2 linked regions of the Arabidopsis thaliana genome follow. The protein of the gene in region 1 interacts with the protein of each later gene in a pairwise test. Each region holds a gene or a part of one and is shown on either strand. Other genes may lie near its edges.

Region 1 (3,883 bases):
GTTTTTTTCTTTATTCACAAATCTTAAGAACAGTCCATATTAATGCATACTAACCACCCATGCGATACATTCATCGTATATGATAAATCCTTCCAATTGCATTTGCACACATACATAAAGTAGGATATGTGTATATATAAAACATATACAGGCATAACATATAATAGATTTTAGAAAGAAAGAAAAAATCACAGATAGATCATCAAATAATTGCGTCAGATAATATATCCTGAAAAAAAAAAACTAATTAATATTATCCTTGTTATGGGCATAAAGCTTATTTAATGTCGGTTTGCCTTATTCTTCCTAACTAAAGAGTAAAAAGCCTTATAACTATTTCTAAAACAATAATATATGTGTTATATTATTTTGTTGTCTATGAAATCTATAGATAATCGTAGTGCGGTAACAATAAGACCAATCAACAATCAAGTTATATCTAAATGCTTGAAATGTTGATACGGTGGTTCCCTATTTTGGCTATGGTAAGTCGTGCAAGTCGTAATATATACCTACATTAATTAAAGTATAATGTTAAAGTTCAATGTATTTGAGAAGAAGAGAATTGTCTTCCATAACAGACGAACATGGTTTGATTAGGTAGCGCCATGTTGCAAGATATGTACGCGTGTTAGCTGTTTTTGGTATTTAGACAATTTCATATCATCATTAGTCAAAAGAAAGAAAAAGTTTTAAGAGTTGAGATTTACAATTACGTTACTACTATAAGAAAACAGACGACATTTTAGAAACCCGTTAAAATTCAAAATTTTGACGGAGAATTCAACCGTTGGATTTAGAGCATCAAAATTAAAACTTCCATAAAATTTGTCTGAATTTTTTGATAAAATTTATCGGTCATATTTTAGCAAATCTCCTAAAAAAATTGGTATACTATCAATTATTTATGGAGTTTTTGCTTTGAATTGTTAGTTTATCACTTATTATTAGTAATGGATTTGCAAACGATCTTAGGTTTGGTCTACACCTCTCTGATTAAAGACTTTTTTATACAGCTTTAAAGAAGTTTGGAGTAAACGGCATCGTTCTTCACCACTGCTCGTGTCAGCTTTTTTAGTTGTGGTCTCCTTTTCTTAAGGCCACTTTAACCGTCAACATGTATAGTCAATAAACATTTTTGAGTTAATTAGTGGAGTAGTTGAGAAGTAAATAAATTAAGCTAGTCATAGTTTTTTTTGCAAAAATTTGGTAGTAGAGTAACTTTTAAGATTGTAAGTTGATAGTTTTTTCGACATAAGATTGAAGACAAACCATGAACTATAAAACTAGGGAAGGTCGAGATTTTAACATTTTTGGATAAACATTGCTTTTGATCAACAATACGAAATATTAACTTTTGTCTTTAGTTAACATCATTGAATCAACAACCCGAATCAACCTTAATTATATTCATGCTTTACTTCCACACGAAATTTTCAGCTTAAATAAGGAGAAAAAAAAATAAAAAAAAATAACGAGAAATAATAATAATTGAAATTTGAAAGGTAGCAAAAAAGATTAATATTGATATAAAATTGGAGTATATATTATTAAAGTTGTCAACGTCATGGAGATACAAATTTAGCAAAAAGAAAAAGACATGACTCACATTAGATGCTGTTCTATGAACTCTATTTATTAGCCTATATTTATTACACTTATCTTTTTTCATTAACCCTAGATGGGGTCAACAAACCATGGTTAAAAAAAAATATTCAACCAAAAAAAAAAAAACACATAATGATTATGAATCTCAACCACACAACTTGGATTTCTCATTATCAACAGTCTTCAACTTCTCATCTCTTTCTTCCTCCATGAGAGACTTGAGTAAATAATACATAGTTTTAAATTTCCCCTTTTCTAATCTTATCTCTCCCAAATACATAAACCCATCCCAAAGATTTCGAGTTTACAATTTAAAAACAGTTTTGTTTAGTGCAATCTTTACCTTATCTTTACTTCTATCATCTATTCTTCTTCTTCCTCCATCTCTAGAAAATTATAATACTTCTTGTTTCTTAAATCTTATTTGTATTACAATAACCAAAACCCAAGTTTACAAAACATTTCTTCTTCTTGTTTTTCGAAACCCTAAATGTTTTGAGTTGTCATGGATGTAATAGCTACTACAACTACTATAGTATCCGACTTGGATTCACGACAACCCGAAATCGAAGCTCCGATCCGGATCCAGCCCGCGAAGCCTATTTCTTTCTCAAACGGCAAACGCTGCCACCACCATCATCTTGCATCTGAAGCGGTTGCGGTTGCGACTTATAAAGAATGTCTAAAGAATCACGCAGCAGGTATCGGCGGTCACGCTTTAGACGGATGCGGCGAGTTTATGCCGTCACCGTCGTTTAACTCCAATGACCCCGCTTCACTAACGTGCGCTGCTTGTGGTTGCCACCGTAACTTCCACCGCCGTGAGGAGGATCCATCTTCTCTCTCTGCCATCGTCCCTGCGATCGAATTTCGACCTCACAACCGTCACCAGCTTCCTCCACCGCCTCCTCCTCATCTGGCGGGGATTCGTAGTCCAGACGACGATGATTCAGCTTCTCCACCGCCGATCTCGTCTTCTTACATGCTTCTCGCACTCTCTGGAGGAAGAGGAGGAGCTAACACGGCGGTTCCAATGTCTAGGAAACGTTTTAGGACGAAGTTTAGTCAGTATCAGAAGGAGAAGATGTTCGAGTTCTCGGAGAGAGTTGGGTGGAGGATGCCGAAAGCTGATGACGTGGTGGTTAAGGAGTTTTGTCGGGAGATTGGAGTTGATAAAAGCGTTTTCAAAGTGTGGATGCATAACAACAAGATTTCAGGACGCAGCGGCGCTAGAAGAGCTAACGGCGGAGTAGTAGTAGGAGGAGTAGGAGATAGTCGTCAGAGTGTTGTTCCGACAAATGGGTCGTTTTCTTCGACGTGAGGAAAAGAATGGAAAGCGTTGAAAAAGCGTCGTCGTTTTAGAGGCTAATTCTTTTTTGGTTTTTCTTCTCTGTGTTTTGAAGATTTTTTATTTTTAGTCAACGGGTCAAAATCTTTTTTCTATTCCACTTTGTTTTGTTATGTCTTGTAGTTTGTACTCTTGTTAGTAGTTTATCTTTGTTAGAGAGGTGATTTGAGTTGTATCTTTCGACCAAATGTGAGAAGAAAGATAAATGAGTAACCTCCTAAAACCGAATAACAAAGTCAATTAATCCAATTGTTTTCTAAATTCTATATCAGTTTGCTTTTTTATTTTTACTTTTTTTCTTTATATAGAAATTTATGAAAGAAATGAGGGAATTTGTTGCAATTATGTGACATTACTAGATTTTTAACCCGCGGTATACCGCAAGGACAATTTTTTTTTTTTTAAGTTAGTATATATAAAAGTTTACAAATTGTATCTATCTATAAAATATTTTTATTTTATAGTTTACAATTGTTATTAAGTAAAAAAAACTATTTATTTTATTAATGTTGATCTTATTTATGATATGTTTATAAATCATTGTCTAAATATTTTGTAATTTTGTAATAATTAACTGCTATAAAATATCTATGTGGGTTGATGCGTATAATGGAATTGTTATAGTCATGCAAAAAAAGCAATATCAAAAATGATAATTTTGTAATTTTTAAATGATGTTAAATATTTTAGAAGTTTTATTTTAGTAACTAATCGTGTAGTTATTGTAGAGAGATTTTGAGAAGATAGTTAAATGTCAAATATTTAATTCGAAAATTTACTTTCTAATTATCAAAAATAATTATTAAATGCCAGTGACAACCACTGTAAATAAGTCTCAACTTGAAGATTTATTTCATATAGTGGCTGCAAAAATGTATATGTAGATAACTCAAAAACATGAAAACACAGTTACTATTTTGTGTGTTT
Region 2 (3,810 bases), 9.8 Mb from region 1:
AATTTTGATATATTGTATGTAATTGTACAACATACTCAATCATATGTTATTACTTCTAATAATTTGAATATGGACATACTCAGAAAGGTATCAAGGGCTCTTTCTCTAGCTATTGTTTCTCATATAATCTTTTCAAAATCATATATCATCACCAACTATACTCATCATTCTCGGGTACTATGAGCTCTAACTAGTGGAATGGTACTAGAACTTTGACACACCGTCTAGTTGAGATTATAGAAATTAAAGATTATGTTATATATAGTAGAAACAAAGTAGGCCAAATTCTTATAGAAAAGAATAAACAAAATTAATATAAAAGATAAATGAAAAAACGGTCTTGAATTATAAACAATTTGCTAGGTGTGATTCAACATTGTCTTTATTCAATACTTGTTGGGTCATAAACATTCAAATTGCATATTATTGTTACTCTAGTATTCAAATTGCATATTATGTTTTATCTAAACTAACTTATATATTTATTTTGATAAACATGTCATATGATATTAAACTTATTTTCAATTGATCATCTTCTAAGTTGATGCATTTTAGTATTTTATATTCAAATTTTGAGATCTTAGTATGTAATATATTTTCAGGTTTTTACTATTCATCAGTTTGATGATGCAAATATACATAGTACGAATAAAATGAGTGAAATTGTTTAATTATATGATCAGGAAGAAAAAATAATATTCCAAAATCCAAATTTTAGTGGGTAATTCTTAGCACAAAAACAAATTTTGTTTCCAAATATATCACATATTTTTCAATGTTCCACAAATAGCATTAATTGTTGAAATTTGTTATGAATAAGAATATGTTCTATAACATTATATGAATTAGAATTATCAATAGATAAAGTGTGTCAACTCAAATCGCTAAATTGTTGAAAACAATTTAATAATATATTCATTTAATATATTCTCATGTCAATATGATATGATTAGATCTATTTAGTGAGATCTTATTTAATTGTTAATTCTAATAAAACAAAAATAGTGATTATATTACTAATAAATAATATAATTGTTTAATCTTATTTTATGGAACTGTATTTCTCAACTTCAATTAAATACTGTACCTAAACCTAAAATTAAATATGCAATCAACTTGATTAATAAAAAACAACAAAATGGGGTAAGAAGTAAACAACGTTGTTAAACAAGACACGCGCTCACCAGTCGCGAGTTTGGCAATAATCATGAAATGAGCTTCTTTAAAAAAACTTTCTAGTAGATAAATTAAACAATTAAAAATCTCCGACAAGATTTAACAAAGAACAGATAATATCTTCTCCGCAAAGACAAAAGTGAAAGCGAAGAAGAAATCCTCCACGTGTCATTAGCATCTTTTAACCTGAGCCACATGATACTAGTTTCTCGAAACCCCTCTTTACGCTTTTTCACCCAAATTTTTATAAAAAGAAAAACATTATGCTTACGTGGCTTATCTTCTTCTTGCTCTTTTAAAGTAACCCCTTGACTCTGCTCCTTTCATAAACAACAACTCTCTCACCAATCTCAAAACAATTCTCTCTCTCTTTATTCTTCTTCTTCAGCTTCAGATTTCAGATCTTAAATCTTCAAGTCTTCTTCTTCTTCTTCTGCAACCATGGCTATGCAGGTTTGAGATCTATCTTCTTTGTTATTCTTTATGCAATCTTGATCTTGGTTTTGTTACTGTTGTTATGTTTCAAGTCTTGTGGAATCCAGACAGATTTAACCTAAACTTAGGTTTATGTCCGAGAGAAAATAGGTTATTTTGTTATCTAATTTCAAGTTTAATCTCTTTGTCTGAGAGAACTTGGAACTGAAGATTATTCGATTGTGGCAGGTTAAAAATTGTGTTAATAGACCAGGCGATTATGTGGGATATTATGGTCGGTTGTTTTAAAGAGAGATTACTTCTTTCTTAATGTATTGATCCGTATTAGGTAAGAACATGTCTCTAATCCCCTAATTATTACTGGTGGTCTACCTCTTCTAGTTGCGTATTAATTAGTTTTATTAGACTCTTTGTAACATTTAATTACTCTTACAATATATTAAGAGACTAATTGTGTTTTCTTACTTTGTGATTATAGGAACGTTGTGAGAGTTTATGTTCTGATGAACTTATATCTTCCTCAGATGCCTTTTACCTCAAGGTACTAATTTTGTTTCTTAATCTCTTGTTTACTCTTGATTGGTTTTGAACTTAAATATGAGGTTAATTTAGGGTTTGTTTTGTTTATAGACAAGAAAGCCTTATACCATCACTAAACAAAGAGAGAAATGGACAGAAGCAGAGCATGAGAAGTTTGTAGAAGCATTGAAACTCTATGGCAGAGCTTGGAGACGAATCGAAGGTGTGTGTGCTTATCTGACTTTAGAGAGTCTAATGCACATTCTAATCTAAGTTTGATGAAGATATAAGAAAACTACTTGGACCCTAGTAATGAGTAGAGATCTGACTTTTGTTGGTTCTTCTATGGAACAGAACATGTTGGAACAAAAACTGCAGTTCAGATTCGAAGCCATGCGCAGAAGTTCTTTACTAAGGTTTGCCTTCTTGCAGACCCTTATACATGAAAAAGTTTCAACCTCTTCGTGTTAAGCAAGGTCTAATTCAAGTTTTTCTTATTAGGTTGCTCGCGATTTTGGTGTTAGCTCTGAGTCCATTGAGATCCCGCCTCCAAGGCCAAAGAGAAAGCCGATGCATCCTTACCCTAGAAAGCTTGTGATTCCTGATGCAAAAGAGATGGTATACGCTGAACTAACCGGATCCAAGCTGATTCAGGATGAAGATAACCGATCTCCAACATCGGTTTTATCAGCTCATGGCTCAGATGGATTAGGTTCCATTGGTTCAAATTCACCTAACTCTTCTTCAGCTGAGTTATCATCTCACACAGAGGAATCATTGTCTCTAGAAGCAGAGACCAAACAGAGCCTTAAGCTCTTTGGAAAAACTTTTGTAGTTGGTGATTACAACTCTTCAATGAGTTGTGATGATTCTGAAGATGGCAAGAAGAAGCTATACTCAGAAACACAGTCTCTTCAATGTTCTTCTTCTACTTCAGAAAACGCTGAAACAGAAGTGGTAGTGTCGGAGTTCAAAAGAAGTGAGAGATCAGCTTTCTCTCAGTTAAAATCGTCGGTGACTGAGATGAACAACATGAGAGGGTTCATGCCTTACAAAAAGAGAGTAAAGGTGGAAGAAAACATTGACAATGTAAAATTATCATATCCTTTGTGGTGAAGTGTTCGTTTGTGTCAAGTCAGTTGTGTAAACTCTTTTGATCTCAACATCAGATTATGTGTATAATGTCAGAGTATTAGGGAAAGTTTTTTTGGATTAGATTCGTAAGATCACTCCAAAGTTTCGTGTCTTTCCATATAACCAGTTAGAAATTGAGATCCTTGTACTTAAACATTTTTATTTGATCAATCAAATCTTCTTGATAACTCTAAATTGTTGTACATAATAGTAGTCTCTATCAAGCATTTCATTCGAAAGGATTAACAAAAAAGATTAGGTTTACAAAAAATACATCAAAAGCAAATGTTTGAAACATAGAAACAAGTAATGCATCATAAACCCTAAGACTAGCTTCAAGTCTCTGTGACGGTTTCACTCTGTTTCAAGATCTTCCTCGTACGGTACTCGTCGACACAAAGGACACGACCTCTGACGCTTAAGCCACTCAAAGATACAATTTTGATGGAACAAATGGAAACAGTCAGGTAACAGAATGATGTTATCATCATGACTCTCCGAAAAGTCCTCCAAACAAATCGAACAAGTGGTTTCTTCTTCATCTCC

What was found. Proteins that work in one complex are often made in the same cells at the same time.
Region 2: the proteins of HB30 (region 1) and RVE2 interact in binary tests that used the Arabidopsis thaliana proteins (3 or more experiments, as listed by UniProt).

What each region holds. Positions count from the first base shown.
Region 1 is NC_003076.8:4,936,920-4,940,802, reverse strand, and holds HB30 (homeobox protein 30), read left to right. Parts: upstream 1-1,595; 5' UTR 1,596-2,113; coding exon 2,114-2,929; 3' UTR 2,930-3,338; downstream 3,339-3,883. UniProt on the Arabidopsis thaliana protein: Putative transcription factor.
Region 2 is NC_003076.8:14,750,780-14,754,589, reverse strand, and holds RVE2 (Homeodomain-like superfamily protein), read left to right. Parts: upstream 1-1,501; 5' UTR 1,502-1,617; coding exon 1,618-1,629; intron 1,630-2,089; coding exon 2,090-2,152; intron 2,153-2,241; coding exon 2,242-2,353; intron 2,354-2,484; coding exon 2,485-2,546; intron 2,547-2,631; coding exon 2,632-3,246; downstream 3,247-3,810. Other genes in the region: AT5G37250 (RING/U-box superfamily protein), read right to left, coding at 3,619-3,810. UniProt on the Arabidopsis thaliana protein: Positive regulator for cold-responsive gene expression and cold tolerance. Part of a regulatory feedback loop that controls a subset of the circadian outputs and modulates the central oscillator. Negatively self-regulates its own expression.